Arabidopsis thaliana: one gene and its partners. The protein of the gene in region 1 interacts with the protein of each later gene in a pairwise test. Each region holds a gene or a part of one and is shown on either strand. Other genes may lie near its edges. The genes, in order: CHX10, CRK30, SPIK and AT5G16590.

What was found.
Region 2: the proteins of CHX10 (region 1) and CRK30 interact in a protein complementation assay, tested with the Arabidopsis thaliana proteins (one large-scale study listed by BioGRID).
Region 3: the proteins of CHX10 (region 1) and SPIK interact in a protein complementation assay, tested with the Arabidopsis thaliana proteins (one large-scale study listed by BioGRID).
Region 4: the proteins of CHX10 (region 1) and AT5G16590 interact in a protein complementation assay, tested with the Arabidopsis thaliana proteins (one large-scale study listed by BioGRID).

Annotation. Positions count from the first base shown.
Region 1 is NC_003074.8:16,401,353-16,406,573, forward strand, and holds CHX10 (cation/H+ exchanger 10), read right to left. Parts: upstream 3,473-5,221; 5' UTR 3,321-3,472; coding exon 3,108-3,320; intron 2,927-3,107; coding exon 1,901-2,926; intron 1,819-1,900; coding exon 706-1,818; 3' UTR 539-705; downstream 1-538. UniProt on the Arabidopsis thaliana protein: May operate as a cation/H(+) antiporter.
Region 2 is NC_003075.7:6,962,641-6,967,623, reverse strand, and holds CRK30 (cysteine-rich RLK (RECEPTOR-like protein kinase) 30), read right to left. Parts: upstream 3,157-4,983; coding exon 2,328-3,156; intron 2,243-2,327; coding exon 2,108-2,242; intron 2,005-2,107; coding exon 1,883-2,004; intron 1,787-1,882; coding exon 1,567-1,786; intron 1,498-1,566; coding exon 1,260-1,497; intron 1,164-1,259; coding exon 1,010-1,163; intron 936-1,009; coding exon 531-935; downstream 1-530.
Region 3 is NC_003071.7:10,892,263-10,899,181, reverse strand, and holds SPIK (Shaker pollen inward K+ channel), read right to left. Parts: upstream 4,930-6,919; 5' UTR 4,580-4,929; coding exon 4,338-4,579; intron 4,258-4,337; coding exon 3,892-4,257; intron 3,812-3,891; coding exon 3,754-3,811; intron 3,657-3,753; coding exon 3,339-3,656; intron 3,242-3,338; coding exon 2,996-3,241; intron 2,911-2,995; coding exon 2,812-2,910; intron 2,735-2,811; coding exon 2,702-2,734; intron 2,580-2,701; coding exon 2,394-2,579; intron 2,306-2,393; coding exon 2,111-2,305; intron 2,016-2,110; coding exon 1,940-2,015; intron 1,844-1,939; coding exon 1,271-1,843; intron 1,088-1,270; coding exon 813-1,087; 3' UTR 510-812; downstream 1-509. Other genes in the region: AT2G25590 (Plant Tudor-like protein), read right to left, coding at 5,410-5,623, 5,740-5,881, 5,966-6,017, 6,830-6,919. UniProt on the Arabidopsis thaliana protein: Highly selective inward-rectifying potassium channel that could mediate potassium uptake in the pollen membrane. Plays an important role in pollen tube development.
Region 4 is NC_003076.8:5,429,994-5,434,689, reverse strand, and holds AT5G16590 (Leucine-rich repeat protein kinase family protein), read right to left. Parts: upstream 3,107-4,696; 5' UTR 2,829-3,106; coding exon 1,544-2,828; intron 1,455-1,543; coding exon 1,137-1,454; intron 1,044-1,136; coding exon 769-1,043; 3' UTR 504-768; downstream 1-503. UniProt on the Arabidopsis thaliana protein: Might be involved in early recognition of growth promoting fungi. Appears to be specific for P.indica.

The DNA of each region.
Region 1 (5,221 bases):
CTTTCTCCATCGATAGGCTCAATGTCTTTAATACTTCTTCCTTAAACTCGATTTGAGATATTATTAACCCTTAGAGAAAGCAGATATACATTAAGCTACATTTGGTTGTAATTTAATTTTGTTGATCATATCAAGACCACTGTGATATTAGAGGAGTGGAGAAAAGAGAAGAGTAAGGAAGAAACAAAGCAACCGAAGATTAAATTGGAAATGAACAGATAGATTTCCAAAGACTAACAAAAGATATAATATAAAACCCCAAATTCAGAAACTTTCTCCCAACTAGAACTGGTAATGTTTTTAATATTTTCAAAGGGTTTCTTCTTAGACAATGTTTCTTGCAGTTGAAGAAACATGTTTCTTTCTTGAAGATAAACATGGAGTCGCTTCGACTTTACAGACCAGTGTCAGCTTTGGGCAACCTAATGTTCTAAGAATACCAGAAGCTAGTGAAAGAGTGAAAGAGTGAAAGGACGGATTGAGAAACACAGAGTTGAGCTGGAGGAAGTATAACAATCTGAATCAAAGTTTATGGTTATTCCTTCTTATGGATTCTAAGTATGTTTAATTTGTATATAATGTAAAAAAATTTGTATGAATATATACGCATATTATATTTAAACAAATGAATGACTATTTATACATCTTAAAATTTTCTAAAAGTTTGCCCTAAATGAATACACACAGTCTTGCGGTCAAAACATGTCACGTTCGTTGTTGTTGTTGTTGAACTACTAAAACCGAAACCTTAGAGCTTAGATCTCTAGCCGCCAGCAAATCCCCGATGACACCTAACTCTGGTAGTTCGACCCATTCCATTAGTCCTGATAAGTCTTGTGATGTCATATCATGATCTCTCCCGACCACCATTAGATCGTACTCTTCTGCAAGCAATTGGACAGCTTTGACTACCTCAACACTACTAGTCACAATCCTCTCTATATAATCAATATCTTTGTTGTCTTCAGTACTCTTCAAATCCTTTAAGCCTTCGTTATCAAGAATATAATCCCAATCTGACTCTATTTCATGGTCGAAGACGAGTCGGATCACGGTTACACGGATCCTCGGGTTATTTTTCATCCTCTTCACCAATGATAGTGCTTCCCTATCGTCTTTGCCTCCAATGAAGAGCACACCAACATCAATGATGTACCTTTTTTTGCTCGTTACAATACTTTTTCGCGAGAATTGTCCACGGTCTACTAGTATGCCGATAGAACAAGGCGCACGATCGAGTAACGACTGGTTTAGATGTCTTATAGCAGTGTTGTCAGACTCGAATAACCCATCTACAGTCCATTTCCTCCCCGATGGGACGACAATCATCGATGTTGTTTTGTCAAGTGCAAGTGTACAAATGTCTTCGTGCATCAAGTTTTCATGCGAGAACGCAGTGAACGTTGTCACGGTTACAGACTCTAAGCTTTCTAACACGAATTGTCTAAAGGCAAGGTTTGCGGTATGGATGTATGAGTCTTTGTTAAGCCGTTTCAATTTCTTGTCGTGTGAGACTATGATAGGGTTTATCTGACCAACGAGCTTCACAAGGTGGAGAACTGTAACCGCGATAGGGAAGTCTAGGTTCGGTGAGGACAACAATTGTAGGAATGCTATGGTCTCTGAGACGTTTTCTGGTTTGTGCAAACAAGTTAGAATTCGAAGATCTGAGTTTCGTTCTAGATGCAATATGTCCCTTTTCTGGTAATTAACGTACTTTCTTCTTGGATCGTACATCCTCCTTAAGACAGTAGGGACAATCCCGGCATTTAGTAGCGAATATAAGATTAAGAACGAGTAAGTGGCTTGCGATATGTACTGCAAAACCAAACCATAAAAAAATGTTTAGATTAATGGCAAATGATACCAATAATCGACTATTTGCGAGTTAGGAGGTTACCGTGTCGTCTAATACAGCTTCATAGAGAACAAAATCAGCAAAACTTTTGTAGCTCAAGATGAAGGAAACAGCCAAGGATTCACTGAGAGGTAACTTGTAGTACAAGCAAGGTGCAAGGCATGCGACCAGTTTTATGACAAGTATAAGAAATGTTAGGAAGATGTTGAAGAAGATGTCATTGAACTGGCTAAGGATCCTTGCTCCATCACATCTCATCGCGCTGAATGTGATTGAGATTGGTAAGAACACGTTCATTGTGAGCCTCTCAAACTTAGCCTCTAGAGCCGATCCTAATGGTGGACCCTCTGGTATGATGATGCCAATCATTAATGGTCCTAAAATATATTTCATGTTGAAAAACACAAAATAAGCAGCGGAAGCCAATGCGGTAATAATCACGGCATGAATGTACATATCCTCCACTGGCTTGTCTTCCGGTGTGCGGTCTATGACCCATTGCACCATAGGCTTAAAAACAAGAAAGACGACGAGAAAAAAGATGATCACCGCGACAGTGTCACGATAGGCTGTTGCATGTGAAACATGAATGTAGGTCGCTTGTATAGAGGCAACTATCATGGAAAAAATCCCCAAGATGTCGTTGATGACACATGCAGACAATGCAAGGCGACCTAGCTCGGAGTTGATGATCTTGAGCTCTAGCAAGATATATGTAGTGGAAGGCAAAAGTATCGAAGATTGAGTTATGACAATCGCAGTGCGCTCACCTAGGGCTTTAGTTAGAGGCATGTAGTGAGGGTCGATGTTGTCAGAAAAAAAATTCTGGAAACCGAGACCAAACAGAGGAGCAAAGAAGGACACGATCCCGATCACAACGGGCAATTTTCCGCTATGGAACGCCACTCGCCTGCTGGTTCTAACAGTCATTAGAAACGTAAACATTAGTGTTCCAAACACCGAGATGCATCTTAACGCTGCGATTCCATCCAACGCAGGATCCACGGATAGTTTCCCTGAAGATTTCTCTAGTACATCAAAAAGCTGAGGCCCTAGAACTATTCCAGCCTGCACATAAATTTATATATATGATTTCAGTTTCTGAAAAATATCTTCAATAGCACGCATGCATGATCTTCTTTGTCCCTTAAACAATTTACGTGCTTGTCAAGTTACATCTACTTTTGTAGTTCTAATAATTGGAAATATCTTGTGTGCTTGCCAAGTTAGATATGGAAAACTTGCTTACAATCATATATGAAGCGATTTGGGAAATGCCGATGCATCTGAGGAACATATGAGACATGACAATGCAGAAGAATATCAGTATTATCTGAATCTCTAGGAGAGGCAGCGAGTAGCCGAAAACCACATCAGGCGATTTTAGGTTATCCCAAAATCCCTGGGAAGATATGTTGAAGAATGATATTCGACAATCCCCAATGTAAGTAGTCGTGTTCATGAATATAAGCCAATAACTTAGCAAAACTTGGGGATGAAAATGCTTTTTTTTTGTGTTATAAAGTTTAAGTCTCTGGAAAAGAAGAAAAAAAAGTGTTCATTCTTTGAATTTGGGTTTTGAAAAGAGTCTTGTTAGTTTTTTGTGTTGTTTTTGTCTGGTCTTTGGTAAATAGCTGTCATAATCTCTCTGGAACAAATGTAACTTTCCAATTTAGAAAAAAAAAATATATATATCCAGAGAGTAACTGTTTTTTTTTTCCATTTTGTTTGTTCAAAAACGTAAAATCTAGAACATGAAGAATTTGCTTTGCTAAATAAAATTGCAAGCTTGGAGGTTTGAGCCAAAATTAGCTCAAAGTTTCTGTTTGGGGACCCAAGTTTATAGTCTAGAAATATTTTCCAACTGCTTCAATCTAAGTTTACAATTTTTTTTCTTTCCTTCCCTTGATAATATTTTTTCCGATCTAATAATACTTATAAAATTAGTGACCACCCTAAAATCCGATATACAATTAATCCGATAGATCTATATATACATTTTTGCAACCATTTTGTGAAATAAATCCTGTAGTTCGGATTTATTTACAATGGTTGCCACTGGATTTTAATGTTTGTTTTTGATAATTAAAAAGAAAATCTTCGAATTAAATATTTGACATTTAACAATCTTCCCAAAATCTCTTCATATTAACTACATGATTATTTACTAAAATAATACTTCTAAAATATTTAATATCATTTAATTACTACAAAATTATCATTTTTGATATTGCTTTTCTCCATAACTATAACAATTCGATTATAATCATCAAAGCGCAGAGATATAATCTGATAGCATTTAATTACTACAAAATTACAAAATATTTAGACAATGATTCATAAACATATCATAAATAAGATCAACATTAATAAAATAAATGGTTTTTTTTACAGGACGGGTTTGGCAGGACGTTACTTAATAATATTTGTAAACTATAAAATAAAATTATTTTATAGATAGATATAATTTGTAAACTTTTATATATATACTAACTTTAAAAAATAAATTGTTCCCGTGGTATACCGCGGGTTAAAATCTAGTTTAGACGTACATACGCAAAAAAGTGAGGAAAGATTCAAACCATAATTAAAATGTTTAATATGGCTGGTGGTCAAAAGTTTATCTGAAATTTCTGGTGCTTATTACCTTTCATTACCTCAATTACTAAAAACATCTGAAATATGAAATAATTAAAATCAGTATTCAAGTTAAATTATATTACAAATATTAAACATACAAAAAAATGTTGTATTTTTTATTGTTTTAATGGTGAGAAATGGTAAAATTTTTGGAAAATGTTTTAACAATAAAATACACCAAAAATAATAATATATAATCGTTTGATTTGCTCAAAGGCTGATTTCAAATGAGAATCTTTCAAAATCTACCACTGAATAAATACAGATTAATTGGTGGACAAGATGTGAGATTCATGATAATAGAGCAAGATGATGAAATTGAGGACAAGATCTAGACGCAACAGAGAATTTCCAATCGAAGATAATATCTGGAGACAAAAATGCGGAATTATATAAGGGTTTGTGGATCTATGGTCGTTTTATCGAAGTTATCTTTCAAAATTTCTTTCAATCTAGATCTTGAAAAAGAGAAATTTTAATTTTTATGTGCCAAGTTCACATTTTTTCTTAACCATTAATCTGTATTTATCCACTTTTACTAATTCTTGCTATACACTTTTAATTCTACAATTTTTATACTTATTTTGTTTTTGGTGAATATTTTTATACTTATTATTTCAAAACTAAACGCAAATATATTTTATATTAAAAAAAATTTAAATTCGAGAAAGAACTCTCAGAAATGATCATGGTAATTTCTTCTCCAAACGCCTTAATTTGTTT
Region 2 (4,983 bases), on another chromosome or scaffold:
CTTTCGCGTGTAGAATTTTCGTCAAGTAGTGGATACGTGCATTAATGCACAAGTCACCTAGGTCAACGTTTTGGATAATTTAATACTTTATAAACACGTTAGGTAAATATGATGAAAGTGAACGTAGACCAATTCTTGATCTGTAGCTCTTCTAGGCCCTATTTGACACCAAAACGTTCTAACTTACTCCAAAACACAATGCAACAAGCAATGACCAAACACAAGTATTTAAGTCGTCGGTTCCTATTGTTTTAAAAATCTCTTAGTCTCCATTAAGGAATGAGTACCGTTGGGTCTAAAATACTGAGTCCCTGCATCTTTGTGAAGGAAGACACAAAGCAGAAACATGTGAGGATAAAACAGTGGATAGCCTAGTTTGATTTCATTCACCGTACTATTTTGAGAACCTTGATTTGGTCAAAAAAAGATGTTATTGGGCAGGTGAGCCAAGCATTTATTCTTAACAAAAAATGAACGTGAATACATAAACCAGAATCAAAATGAGATAACTTTTAATATTCAAAAATAATTCAATCCTCAGTGTTTCTATACATTGACTTTGAAAATAGAGTTGAGGTAATACAACAGAGTGCAGAAGCAAGAGTTTTACCGAGGAGTGTAGTGATTGTTGCATTGTCGATAGAACAAGTAACAGATTCATTGTTATATTGGTCTGGCTCCAATCCACGGCGTAATGTGTCTGACTCAGGTCTGTTCCTGAAGAAAAATCCAGGTGGTTGAGGGACATTTAGAGTAATGGAGCTATTAGTGAGCATTTGGAATATTGTAGACAATGCTGGTCGATTCACAGGATTTTCTTGAACGCATAAAAGTCCGATATGGATGCATCTAGTGACTTCATCTTTCTCATAGCTTCCGCTAATCGCCGGATCTACGAGCTCTAAAGATGAATCAGTGTTCCAAAGTCTCCAAACCTGCAAACAAACTCGTATTCAGAATCGATGATCACAGTTAGAAAGTAAAAAAAGCATTTTAGATTTCAGCTCACATATGTGACCAAGTTGCAAACAGAACCATCCATCTGATAGAAGCTGCTATTCTTCCTGCCACTAACAATCTCTAGAATCAATACTCCGAAGCTATAGACATCGGATTTGGTAGAGAATTGGCCATGCGCAACATATTCTGGAGGCATGTAACCGCTGCAAATATATACATGACAATGTTTACGTTAGTCAGTAACAAAAACCGTTCATCAGAGAATTGTGCCCATTGTAAATAATAAGGAGAATACTAACAAGGTTCCAACGACTCTTCCTGTACTGTCTTCAGTTTGATGATCTCTGAAATTCCTAGCCATCCCGAAATCCGCTATTTTCGGGTTCATATCAGCATCTAAAAGAATGTTACTCGCTTTGATGTCACGGTGTATGATGGTGAGCCTAGAGTCTTGATGAAGATAGAGAAGCCCTCGTGTAATCCCTCCAATGATGTTGTACCGTCTTGTCCAGTCCAGCTGACCCTTTTTTGTTGGGTCTGCACATCCATTTGCAAATCCAAGCTTAAGATTTCAAGAATATTGGATCAAGAGGAAAATTAGACTACTAGTACTACCGAAGAGGAAATAATCGAGGCTCTTGTTGGGAACAAACTCAAAGACGAGTATCTTTTCTTCTCCTTGCAGAGCAAAACCGAGAAGCCTAACGAGATTCCGGTGCTGAAGTTTTGCTACAAGAAGCACCTCGTTCTTGAACTCCAATTCACCTTGATCTGAAGTTCTTGACAGCCTCTTGACTGCAACTTCAGTTCCATTTGATAACGTACCCTGCATATTACAACTGAATCTAACTAATCATCCCACTATCTCAATATCTTCAAACATAACACAAATACAACTTAAGAGTAGTTGGGGAGAAAATGCCTTGTAAACTTCGCCGAAACCACCTTGACCAATCTTGTTACTCGCCAAAAAGTTACTTGTTGCAGCTTCAATGTCTTTAATATCAAACTGGAGATATCCAACTGTTGTAATATCATCGGCAGCTGCACAATGAAAATGTAGGTGGTTTTATGGTCAGGTCGGTGAAATTCTTTCGTAAATTAGCAGCAAGACCAGCTGATAAGAAAGAAAACAAGAGGAACTCACTTTCTGAGGCAAAAGCTTGATATTTTTTTCTACTCCTGCAAACAGAAACCCCTAGAGCAAGCAGAGCCATGATTATGACCATTGCAACGACAATGACAATCCCAATGATAGTTCCTGTATGAATCGTTTTTTCATCTGTGCAAGACCAAATCACCTAGCTCTTCTTAGAGTTGAATACAAGAAGGGTTATTTCTATCATTTATTTAAGTAAATCACATACCTTTGTTGGTCACTGGAGGTGGGGATTGCAGCTGAGATGAGGGTGGAGGCGCTAGCGTAAGAAGATCAAAGGCGCCATTGAAAGGGTATAGATCCCACCGGAAAATGCAACTAGGCCGATACACATAGCCGCCTTGCTTCCCATGACAACAACCAACATAGTCATCAACACTTTGTTTTAAACAAGTGTTACAGTTGGAAGGAGAGACGTCTGGCGTGCATTGCATCAAAGCGTAGACCATTTGAGAATTTGTCAAGTTTGTTTCATCAGCTGCATAGAATCTACTGTTATCAAATGATAAATATTTTATTGATGCTGATGAAGCTTTAGTCACCATATGAGCTATCAATCGCTCCCATAATCTATCAAAATCTGTTAAGTTTGTGCTGAGATTTCCAACGTTATAACCAATAGAAACTGATTCCAAATCCAATGGTCTAGAAGACGGCTGGTTATAGTAACGTGCCATACATACAGTTTTCCCTCCACCTGACCAGTGAATTGCTGCTGTCTGGTTGGGACATGTCTGTATTAACTGTCTTGTGACGTCCATGATACAATCCCTACAAAGCTTTTGTTTAGCACCTGGGATGCACATCCCCATTGCGTAGAGTTGGTCAGGATCTGTTCCAATCGAAGCGTTGTAGAAGCCATCTTGAGCTGTGACTTCAGATGGAAGAGATGAGAGAATGATTCGGCGGTTCTTGTCAAATGTACCACCTGGTGTAAAAGTTCCAAACTTCTCCGAGCATAACTGTGCAGAGACAACAATAATTAAGCTCACAGGGACAAGCCAGAAGATCAATGAGAAGAGATTATTTTGACGCATTTTCCAAAAAAGGAATAGATGAGTTTCTTTAGTGTCTCAAGCTGAATATAGACTAACTTACACAACCATGCCTTTCATAAGAGCAAGTTGTAAACATTATTTTATTATATGGATAGAGAATATAAATAAAACAATGGCAACTTGTTAGAAAGAAATTATGAACTGGACCACTCAGAGTTATTCCAACAAGTCACTGTGACTCTCAACTACTACTTCAAGCCATAACAAGACTCTGAACATGTTGTTGCAGGACAATCAATAGCTTTTTGGAGTATCATGAATAACATTTTCTAAATCAACGCGACTCTCTGAGTACTTGAAGAAGCAATTGATTGAAATGGATGATCACTGTGATAAATCTGAGGACTACATTTTCTTGAGTTATTTTGTAAATTATAGAAAACAAACAAAATGCAAACTTCATTGCACTTTGCAAAGTTTCTTTTTACCAAAAGGTTTTTGGTCCAAAACATGCTCGCTTGAACCAGAAAGAAACGCATTAACTATAGCACAATATACCGACTCAACACGGATAACTAGAGAGGTTCTAGTAAACATGAACAGAAGTACAGAACCGTAGCATCCAAGTAATCTAATAACATAATGTTTCATCATCAAAGGCCAAAACAGAAGAACATTTGTGTTTTTGTTTGGTATATCGGCCTTACCGAGCAAAGTAGTGATTTGAGAAGCGGAGAACAGCTGTTAGATACATTGACTGCTTTAAAATGTCTCTGCAACTTCAAGTCTTCCCGGAAGTTTCAGCATACACTTCCACCGAATTGACAGAAAGCGAGTGGTTGCTTGCTTCAGATTAAACAGTGCAGCTGACCAAAAGAATTCCAAAAATCAGAAAGAAACAACACAAAACACAAAAGACATCAATCTTAACCTGAAGAGAAAAGAAAAAGAGCCACCTACTCAAAGTGATTAATAACAGTTTACTTTGAAGCAGAAGATGATTCGGAAACTGAAACACTCTTTATATAAGTCATGTCTCATGTCTTCTATATACGATTCAATTCTTAATTTGGCCAACAATGGCTCCTTTAGTCTCTATCACAAACATTTCTAAAACCAGATACTCCGAATCAATATCAGATCCAAAGAAACCTCACCCTCATTAGCTATGTCGCAAGAAGCATCTTCACAAGAAGCAGTCTTTCTCAAACACTTCCATGAGCAAAACCCTTTGGCTTAATCCCACCAATCTGAAAACCCTTTTGTTCTTCTTTATGACAAGTTATATCATTTGCTCTGACTTCTTTCCTCACTAGAAACTTCATCTGTGAGATTCCCAGACATGGCCATACCCGAAAAGTTCAAGAGACATGGGTATCGCGCAACGTCGGAAACACCATCGCCTTCAACAATGTTTTCGAGTAATGCAAATCCAAACGCCAATCTATCTAAACACTGTCGTTTCGTAATATTATTCACCATCATCGCCTGAAACTACTTCGGAAACACCATATTCATCGTCGCCGTCGTTCCCTTAACCAAAACTCTGCCGTTTATAATTTAAAAACGCCGGCTTTAAACGTTGTCGTCTCAACTTACCAATACGCAGTCATTTATCGACCTAAACGCTGTCGTTTTATTTATGCAAAACGACAGTGTTTCAAATAAAAAAACTGAAGCTATAAATCTCGCCGTTCGATATTTTAGCACGGCGTCGTTCAATTAAACACACCAATTTTTTTAATGCAGCCTATGCAGGCAATAATCTAGATTAATCTTGTACATACTGTCAAAATTAGTCTAGATTTCACCGTTCATAATCAAAGGGCAAACATACACAAACACAAACACAAACACAAACTTTAA
Region 3 (6,919 bases), on another chromosome or scaffold:
TTTGACAAGGGTTTTAATTCAACTAGACATAAAATACAACTTCACCTCTTTAGGTTGATTGAGCAGATTGCGGATGTTTCGTATTGGTCAGAGAGATGGGAGCAGATTAAGCTCTCTAGAGTCTGATTCAAATATTACCTTCTTGCATTTGAAGCATGAAATAATAATAATATTATAGTGTGTGTTGTCTCTAACTCTATCTCAATCATTGTGCTCATTTTCGGTAATGCTTTGGCTCCCAAGTCCCATCAATATCACTTTACCATCATGGATCTAAACAAAAATGAAAGATGAGATGATAATTCATCTCAGAAATAGGATAAGTCACCTAGAGAGGATTTAAGCTTGATTGGAAAAGATGAGTGAGGAGTTACTCTCAAATCTCGACCTCGCACAAAAGTTATAAATTTTAACACTTGCTTCTTCTTAGAGACTTAGAGAAGAAGATTGTCTAGACGTTTAAGAAAGGACCTTTATCCTTGTATGCTTTCTGAAAAAAACAAGATTGTTTCCATACTTCTTGTAGATTTCGATGTTAATATCATGAGGTTGTTAGAGAGTTCTTTTAACAGAAAATAGTCAACAGGATATATATATATATACATGTGAAAAATAGTAAGCAGTGAATATATACACAAAAGCAAAAAAAAAAAACCTAAAAGATATTTCAATCCCGGAGTTGATTGGGGCTTACGGTTTCCCCTAATATTAGCATCATATCACCACCATAAAGCTTGACTGTGGTGGTTTGCGAGTTTGCGTTAAGACAAATAGTTTTCATTACTCAAAATCGAAAGAGAGTTGCGTGTGAATCAAGGATCCCTTGATAGAAGGAGAAAATCGCCATCTCTGATAAGAGTGATGTCGTCAATTTCAGCTCCTTCTCTCGTAAGTACTTTAGTTGGGACGAATCCCATCTTATTTTCACCAATTTTCAATAGCTCTTCCATAGAATTTGGTAACAAAACAACTTTTCCACCAGTTTCACCGTTTTCCGGCGAACTTATCGTCACTCTCTCCGGATAAATCATACTACCTCCTCCTCCAGGAACCGCTGGACTTCTTGGAACTTCTCCTCCATCATCAGCTGGAAAAAAACCAGAAATGAAAACCAAATTTGTAAATTTGTAAGGAACAGAACAATGTAATGAACGTTGTGAATTGTATATAAGAATGACTATTGTGATGTGAAAAGTTCTGAAAATTATGGTTACGTGACAAGAAAGCAACGAGTATCTAGAGAGCAGATGGAGAGGTGAGGTGGTTTTACCGCTATTTGCAGCTGAAATGATTCCGAAGAGCGAGTTTCTGAAGTTATTGAGTTTCCGTTTCTGAGAAACAACAACCTGACCCCCGTCTAAGACGAGTTCTCCTGAATGCATTGTAGGCTCACTGCTATACTTCATTAATGGCTTCCCTGTCACAGGACTCTGAGGTATTCCAGGGATAGGTTTCGGTTTTTTCTCCACAGGCCTGTGATTATGAAACAAGGTTTTGATTTCTTCATTCCCTTGATGATCGGCAAGACCACGAGGAGTCCATCCGTAAGAATCCGGCCAGTCCAAGTCAGCACCTTGGTCTAGTAAGAACTTCACAATCTCCAAGTGTCCTTCTGACACTGCTCTGTGTAAAGCTGTGGTTCCGTTTCCATCAGGGAGTGTGACGTCGCCGCCATATTTGATGATGTCTTTGAGTGCGTCTAAGCAGTTTTTCTCCACGGCTAAGCCAGAGAAATAGCTCACTGAGTCTAAGCTTAGCTTTGCTCCATTCTCTGCAAGGAGTTTAGCAATTTCTCTATGTCTTCCTATGATTGCTTCCCACAAGGGTACATTGCCTTCGGAATCTGTAAACAATGTACGAGCCACCGATAATTTAGTACTACATGATCCTATCATCCTAAGCTAATTGACCTAGTGAAACATTATTTTTTACTACTTACCTCTAATGTTAGGATCTGCTCCATGTTCGAGAAGTAAAACGACGCAATAATGGCTTCCCTTTGATGCTGCTATATGCTGAGATATTCAAAGAAGAAACATAGAGAGTGAGCAAATTTGGTTTAGGCATTAAAAGGAGGATGATGGTATATACAAAGGAAATCCGGGCTTACCAGCGCAGTTCGCCCGTCCTTATCCATTTCATTAGGGCTTGAGCCTCGTCTTAGTAACTGATGCAGCAATAAATCATCTCCTCTGGCTGCAGCAAAGCACAAGCTGAGAGGTAAATCCATTTTCCCTTGAGCCAACATGTGTTCTGTATCAGCCAAAACGCCTTTCATCACTGGATCTTCTGAGTCTTTTAAATGCTGCATGAACCACAACATATCTGTTATGGAACTGGTCCTGTGTGTCAACAGGTTGAAACAAACTGTACTATTCAGAGTTATTACAAACCTGAAGAAGATTATTCATGATTATTGCTCCATCTCCTACATTTGCCTGAACAAGATTTAAGAGTACTGTACGGTTCAGACGAAGCAACTGACTCAATCGCTTGGTACGAACAGTAAACAGCTGCGGTCTGTAACATAGTACCCCAACTTCACCAAAAACATGTCCTCTCTGTGCTTCACTAACTACCTGTAAAGAAACACATACACAAAAACATTATCAAATATGTTTTGGTTCTCCAATTGCAACAAAGTTAAAGAAGAACACAATCATATCTTAAAAAGAAACGGTATAATAAAAGCTAGACTTGCCTGCTCCACTCCATTTACACGTGCAATTATGTCCTGAATGACATAGGAATGTGTCAGGAATAATACATGATGATAAAGGAATGTGTCAGGAATGTACGAAAAACACTTACAACAGCTCCGGTCACCAATATGTAGAAATCTGTTGGGGCTTCATTTTGCAAAATCACATCTTCTTTGGGAGGAAAATACTCTGCTTTCATTTCCGTGACCTACAGGACACCGTAAGTTAAGACTTAATGTGAATAAAGTGACCACTTTTAGCATGCAGGACTTCTTGCGTTATGGGAAACATACCAACTGGAAAAGAAGATCATTGGATATTCCATGGAACAAGTAAATTTTGTCAACAACTTCATAGAACAGATAATGTGATATGCTGGACCGAATAGCTTTGGGAAGAGAATCGATTATTTCTTGCTGCTGTAAGCCTTCTGAATCAGTTCTGTACCTCAAACACAAATGAGCAACCATCTGATCTTGTAACCGCACTGGCAGATTGTTCCTCTGACCAAACCCTGATGCGGCTTGGATGGTATCTCTCTAAAATAATGCAAATGCTTAAGACTCATGAAACTTCACTGAGACCAGACTAATTTTCAGAGAAGTGCAGTTAACAGTACCGGTACATAGAACTTACAAATTTTCTGGTGCGGCCGGTCACATGAACCACCAAGTTGGTCATATTACCAATTATATATGCTGACAGTCCAAGATTAAAAACCATGTAGAAAAGAATGAAAGTCATCTCTCTTGAGTTAACACCATGTATATCACCATAACCAGTTGTGGAGAAAGTAGTTATGGACCAATACATTGCCGTGTTATACCGCACTGCAATAGGAGACTCTTTCCAATTTTCATCGGTTAATGCCATAAACGTCTTGGATGGATCTGGATAATGTGCAGCAATGGAATAGAGGAAACAAGCACCACAATGAATCACAAAAAGAGTAACCTGCATTACCAAATCAAATACTGTAAATTCACAGCTAAAAAACTGTTCATTTGAAACCAAAAAGAGTGTAAAAAACAAGTAGACAATAGCTACTTACAAGGAGAAGCTTCGAGCAGCGAACCCAAAAGTAACTGTATTTCCTGTCTTTCTCTAACCTGAAAAGAAGACATCAATATTATACTCAGCTGGAATTTAAACGTTTTGGCTGGAACGATAAACCGGCCAAAGAACTCACCTGGCAAAACAATTACTGACCCTACGAAGACGCCATAAACGTAGCATACTGAAAATACCATATCCCTGAATACTCTCATGAAGCAAGCTCCCAAAAATTTCGTAAGGAAATGTGGAAACCACGTCGAAAATCAGCCAAGTCGACGCATATCTCCAAGCTATTCTCTTTGGATCATCGACAAGAAGATAAGTTACCTTGTCCAAGAAGGCAACAAAGAATGTCAAGACTATATCAACAGCGAAAAACCCGTTGACAATGTTATCGAGAATACTGAGAGGTGGTCTTGGCTTTTGCAGAAACCCAAATTCAAAAGGTGATGCCCAAGCTGTGTAGAGCACCAAAAACACCAAAAACGTCTCCCACGCTCTGAAAAATAATGTTTTACCTCAGCTAAACCCTAATTTAGCGATTAGATTAAAACAGAGTCAAAATTTGAAAAAACGGACCTGTAACGAGGATCAAAAGGAGAGACGATGAAGCGAGGGAGAATGACGTCACGAGAGGAACGATTGTTGGCTCCAAGAGAAGGAAGAAGGCCTTTGCTAAGGCTATACTGACTCATCGTCCCGTCGCGAGATAAATGGTCAGCAACATCATCCTCCGCATCTTTGGTTCTTCCTCCTCCTCTGCCTCCGCCTCCTTCGCCGTCGTCTTTCACACCCCAAAACCATACCTTCTTCTTCTCCATGCTTCAGATCCCTCTCTCTTTCTTTTTCCAAAATCAAAATCCCTTGCGGATAAACACGCAAGGTTTTTTTTTTTTTTTCTCCGAATTCGCCGGTTTCGAATTTCCTTTTATATCCTTTTTTCTGTTACGTTTGTTTCTTTCTTTTTTGTTGTGGGCCCCAACAGGTAACTATTTTCCCTCCTTTTTCTGCTTTTGTAGCCACAAAAATAGCAAGTATATTTCGGTTCATTGGTCTTTTAGTGCTCATAGAAACTTTCAAAATTAACAAATTGGCATGTTTTTTTCCGTTTTGCTCTGGGAACTGAATATTAACTATAGTTTTTTGGTTAATTAGGCTTTTGTTTGTCCCCCAAACATACTAATATTACCAATACTTAAAAACATCATACAAGTTTCTGTTGTTCAATAATTGGCAAAATTCAAATAGGAGGACTACAATCCAAAAACGCTTGGTAAATCGAGAAAGAAGGAGGAGGTTGGTTTATGCGCAAATTGGTATTTAGATAATCATTTCCTGGAATCAATCTACTCTGGTACTTGGAAAGCTTAATTGTGACAGTTTTGGTAACTGTGTTAGTTACATGTTTGCGTCTGTTGGCTTTGAATAAAATCAATAACGCAACCCAAGTAACTTTTTCTGCTACTGCTTTTCTGTTTGGTTTCTCTGATGCTTTTAAGTTGCAAAGGAATTTGATTTTATGAAGTTCTGGTGAAACTCAAGCTAGTGACATGTAGAAGCCACAAATCAACTTCAAGTCAAGAATAAAATAATATAAGTAAAACAGGTGGTTCCAAATAATGTCAATCTTACATAGAACACATTGAAAACATTATAAGTTAATGCAGATCATAATGTTGTTCATAAGTTTTGTAACAACCATAAAATTTTGAATTAACATGAGTTCTAAAGAATCAGAAATATTCAATTCGATTATTTTTCTTAGTGTAGAGTATAAGCGAATATAAAACCGATAGTGATGGCATAAGAACATCGCAATTCGCAAGGCTTCTTCTTCCTCTCTGAGTCTTTTCAATTTCTTTAAGCTTGAGACATAGGGAAAAAGTTGGATTTGACAAGCGAGCAGCTAGACACGTTTGATTTATGCAGAGGTCTATACACACCGATCATAATATTTATGCTAACGTTTGAATCCCCGCACCTCGGTAATTCAGCTTGAAATGTCATAGCCTTGATTTCATAAAAATTGAGTACTTTTCTGTAGATTTTGATGACCAGGCCAACTGTACATATACCACCAACAAACAAGCATGGACAGTTCCACAATCTACTGGTCACATTTGCTGAAAGAGTAAAAGTATTCCACACAACCTCAATACTGTCTCAGATAGACACAGTTCATAAAGAACTTTCAACCTAATACTTACCAATCGTCGGCAAACTTATCCAACCTGCAGACTGTAAATGATTATCCTTCGGCTAGGAACAGTTCACAGCCTGTGTAAAGAGGGTATATATATCCAAGAACACCTGAAACAGATCAGTTATGTACAGCCAAAAAGAAAACACAGCACAATTTAAATTATGAATTTTGAGGAAGAAGGGGCATTGTGTTTTGCACCATTCAGTTAACCTCATGCATCAGAGTAAGATCTCTAGAAGCAAGCAAGATCTGCAGTCACCCAACATGGCTACAGTTTTCCTGAAAAATGTAAGGTAAGTTCAATAATCCATCACTGATGAGGAGAAGACAAATGACTCGACTTATCCAGAAGCTTAAACACAATAAACTAAAGTATATATATGAAGAAAAGACATGACTCATCTTAGAACACAGATACTGTAACTTTTGTTTAAGTTTAATCATCCGGAAAGTACAACAAAGAAAATTAGACTATAAGAAGAAAACATCACAATGAGGATTTGAAATTTTCAGTCAGAGTTATTTCCCTTCTGCTGTCTATACAATCATTTTAACAATCCTCCGGTAACAGAACAATATACAACAGTTGATTCCACATTGCAGGGAAGTATGGCCAACACCTGAAGATAAGACTGTCAAGGATCAAAAAGATATAATAGATACTAACAAAATTAACTGTGGGTACCGGCAGACTTGAGATTTCTTAGCTCCATCAAATGTTCATCATTTGATATATTAAGAGAAAGTCGGAGATCAGTTAGTGATGCTTCCTGATCCCAACTTAGGGAGCCAGAAGCAAATAACTTCGTCAGTGTACTACGGTAAGTGTAAAGTTCAGGCCTACATGATCTCACCACTGATCCATTACCTGATAATGAATGTTTTCGCCTAGCTTCATCTCTGCATCCAGATGCTTCTTTTGAAGATTCAGCATCACTACTACAAGAGTCGGCACCAT
Region 4 (4,696 bases), on another chromosome or scaffold:
AACCCTCTGCATATGTCTTGATCAATACAATTTATAAAGATAGTATATCTTTCTTTCTTTTTTTATTCTTAAAGAGAGTCGCTTGAAATTTACTTTAACGATTAAAGGAAAAATGAAGAAACTTTTGTTTTGATGGCTTCACCAAATTATCTGAATTTGAATTTGAAAGGTGGGGACTAACTTGACAGATTCAACTTAGAAACTTTAAATAGACCCGTTACCTAAAATTATATTTACTCCATGGAGTTTGTAATAAGTATTTAGATACTTAGTCTTAGTCACTAATACAAATAAAACTTGAAATTGAGGAAAGACAGAAAATATGTGTCGTTGACATGCATTTTATGATTGGTCGGAGAGAAGAATCAGACACAATATATCAACAAAATTTGTTTGACAACTTTTTATAATTTACCAACATATAATAATCAGGCTCCTTCTTTTTTGTTTCTGCCGTTTTATTTGCTAGTTCGTTAGAAAGAAAGAGTCAATAGTGGATAAGTTTCATGAAATAAAGTTAAAGTTACTATATTCAAATTGATGGGCCGACCAATAGAAAAGGAGAGATATAATTTGTTTCACACTCAATCAATTTGTATATAAAAAATTTCACTAAAAAAATTAAGAAACACAAAAAAAAAAAAAAAAACTTCAACGTAGATCTCTCAACTGACTTAAAGACCAAACTATATAAAGAAATTCAAATTTAGACCAAACAATTTTGAAATGATCAATTTAGACCCCATATATTGAAAAAGAAAAATACAATCAATCGGACAAAGGACCTGGTGAAGCAGGTGAACGAGAAACCTCCTCGATGAGTCTTGTGACTTCAGGCATTGTAGGACGACTATCTGGATACTGAGTCGTACAACTTATACCGATGTTTAAAAGCCTGATCATGTTCTCATTGCTGTCCGATTGATACCTTGTGAGCTCTGGATCAAACACATCTGATGGTGATTGTTGTTCAGTGATCGATGAAACCCATCTCGGTAAATCTACTCCTTCTTCGTGTAACTGCTGATGCGTTGGAGATTTCCCTGCAAATCAATACAAAAACCAATATATGAATCAACATTTTGACCAAAAATACGGTTTTCAAGATCTCTCTGTTTTTGTGTGTGTTGTTGTACCTGTGAGTAATTCAAGAATGAGAACACCGAAGCTGTAAACATCAGCCTTTTGGGAGATTTTACGAGCATCGGTTACTTCAGGAGCTCGGTAACCATCAATGCGGTTAGGTGTAGAAGTAGGGCTGATCATAGGTGCAAGACAGTAGTCAGAGACCTTAGCTTCAAAGGATTCTGACAATAGAATGTTAGATGATTTAATGTTGCCATGAGATGTTGTCGCGTCACGCGAATGGAGGTAGCTAATTGCTCTTGCGGCTCCTAATGCTATATTGGCTCTCGTTTCCCAATTCAATGGACTTCTGCCACTTCCTTTGTTCCCTACGAATTCATTCCAAAAAATTGGTTTTAAAAAATCTGTAATCACTACTAAAGAATCAAACAATAAACAGAGTTATTTATTTTGTTACCGTGTAACAGCGCAGACAAGCTTCCTCTAGACATGTATTCGAAAACAACGAGCTTTTCGTCGCGGCTGAAGTAATATGCAATCAATGTCACAAGATTGGCATGGCTTATGGATCCAAGAACCTGCAATTTCTCTCTGAACTCTTTCTCAGGAACCACGACATCTCTCAATCGTTTCACAGCCACCACTAATCCGTGATCGAAACTGGCCTTGTACGAAGATCCGAACGTTCCTTTACCAAGTACTTCCGCAGAAGCTTTCAGCAATCCATCAAGATCAAACTCGCCGAAAGATTTCACGAAAAATGTCAGATCTTTACTCACTGCAGCAGGGTTCTTTGATACACCATTTTCAGATGCACCATTAGCCACCACCGCAGGAGGACCATTCGATTCCTTAGCCACGGCTGCTGATGAGGTCGGAACAGGAGCTGCTTCGATGCTTCTCGATTGGACGACTTGCTCTTTCTTCTTCTTTCTACAGAGACAGAACACGATCAAGAAAAGCACGAGAAGCAAGACGAAACAGCCGATCACTATTCCGACAATAGCTCCGGCAGATAACTTGTCGCTTTTCCCTTTTCCTCCAGGCGTCACAGTACCGTTTCCAGTGCCATTGACAGGGCAAGCATCTAACGGCTTCCCACAGAGCAAATTGCCTAAAAAGGCGGTTTTGGGCATACCCGACAACGGATCCGGAATCGACCCGTTTAACTGATTGGATGAGACATTAAACTGTTGAAGCTTAATCTTAATCTCCGGGATTGGACCGGTGAGTTGATTATCCTGCAAGTAAAGAGTAGCTAACCGGGTTGCAGAATTGACATTATCCGGGATCCGACCCAAGAAATTATTCTGGGCGAGATTGATCCGAATAATGTTTGGTAGAGTGAAGAGAAACGAAGGAATCTCGCCGGAAAATGCGTTTCCTTGAAGATACAAGTAACGGAGAAGAGTTAGGTTTGCGAAATCCGGCGGGAGAGGACCGTTAAGAGCATTGAATCGGAATGATAAAGTTTCGAGCTTTGTAAGGTTTCCGATGGCGATTGGTAATGGACCCGATAAACCCACACCGGGTAATCGGAGTGCTGTGACACGACCCGACTCACATTGGACTCCTCCCCAAGTACACGGTGGTGCTGTTAGATTCCACAGCAATGGACGCCCATGAACACCGTCACGAAGTGCGATTAGAGCTCGTCGATCAGCTTCTAGATCTGATGTCACGGAAACGAGACATATAAAGAAGAAGAAGACTGAGAGACCTAAATTGGTCTTGTTCTTCATCTTCTTCTTACCCAAAGCTTAATCCTTTACAACAGTGAACGCCTCTCTCTCTCTCTCTGACTCGGAGATTGGTTTTTCCGAGATTTCCGACTACGTGTAGAACAGTGTTTGGAAAGAGAAAATGTCGGAAGAAAATCTTCTCACAGAAATTTCAGCTCTCTCTATCTGTCTCGACGGCTATGGGGAGATGATGAAGGAGGAGAGAGAGAGAGGCTATTAATTGCAGACTGCAGTGAATGGAAAGAAAAAGTTAATTGTTCAATTTTTTACCTTTTTAGTTTTTACAGTGAGATACAGAATCTTTTATTAATTTATTTAAATATTCCGTGCGATTATTTTTACAGCAAGAAGAAATGAGTTTGCTGTATATTCTTACATCTTTTTATTATTGTGTAATTTAGCATTTTCAGTAACAAATCATATGATTTACATATTTAAATGCTTTTGTTTCCATTTATGAAGGAATCTGGAGAGATTTGTAAGAAGTGTTATAAACATTACATAAGTAGATAAAAGATAATAATAAATACTTAATTAAAAGATACTTTAATGTGAAAATTAAACAAATACTATCCGTTTTTTTATTTTTAATGAATAATTTAAATTGTTTAGTTATGGTTTTATTATGTACGATGGAAACATGCAACTCTTGGGAAAGTATGTTATATTATTGAACGTCTCCTAAAAATGTCTGACTTAATAATACTGAACCACTACTAATTTAAATTCCTTTCGGATATGTGGAACATATTTACGTGTTAACTTTTTTTACAATATGAAATTCTTAGCTTTGTGTCTATCTAAGTCATCGGCAGAAAAAAAATGTGTTTGTACATATATAGAATAGGATTTGAGTAGTTTCAAAATTTTACTTCCTCTAAAAGTAAGAATATATTCTGTATTAAAATGGAATAACTCATATCGAAAATTTTTGGGAAGAAAATATACAAATTAGATTACCTCATTAGTATTTTAGTACTGAAGACATGATATTAAAGTAAAACAATTAGGATTTTGATGAGACCAACGTTTTTATTTCGGCCCAAACTATAATTGATATTCAGTTAAGAGTACATTGTAGAAAGTAAGCCCATTATTATTATTGATTACGGCCCATAAAATAGGCTTATACAAGAATGGGTTCTTAAATCAAACTATATATTTGAAGCCCCTTTTATTTCATGGGACAACAATATCAGTCTACTCTACTACTACTAGCATTTTTCTTTATTTGACGAAAGAGTATAGTACTTAACTAGCATAAATTGACGTTACCAAGTTTTTAAATGGTTCTTCTTATGTCATGCAAAAAACAATTTCGTAATGTATGCTTTTTTCCCACTTTCCATTCATATAATGATAAAATTTTATGAATTCATATTTTCCGTGTGAGCATTGTTCTGTGATGTTACTTTGCGTTTGCGTATTACCAATCATATTACACAATATCCCGTCGGTCCAACTTGTTATTACAATTACAAAACATACAAGTTGGGACTATATGATAAGAAATTAAGAAGATTAGGACTCTCCCACCAATGAAAATAAAGAGCTTTCGAAATTTTACAACAAGAAAGGCAAAAATAGTGACATATATACAAAATAGCCCAGAGTCACGGGAACATAATGACCCACCAAACAATTGTAATAATTGGCTGTTATCACAAACTTAATATTGTAGTACCTATCAAAATTCTAATTGGGTGGTGCGAATACAATAATAGCTCACAGACAGTTATGATATTTGGTTTAGTTCAAATTTTTTTTCGTTAAAGTATTATAAGATTCAAAGCTTTTTAGTCCTACTATATTATTTGGGAAATACATTTTAAATATAATCTTAATTTTTGTAAGTAATTACATAGGTA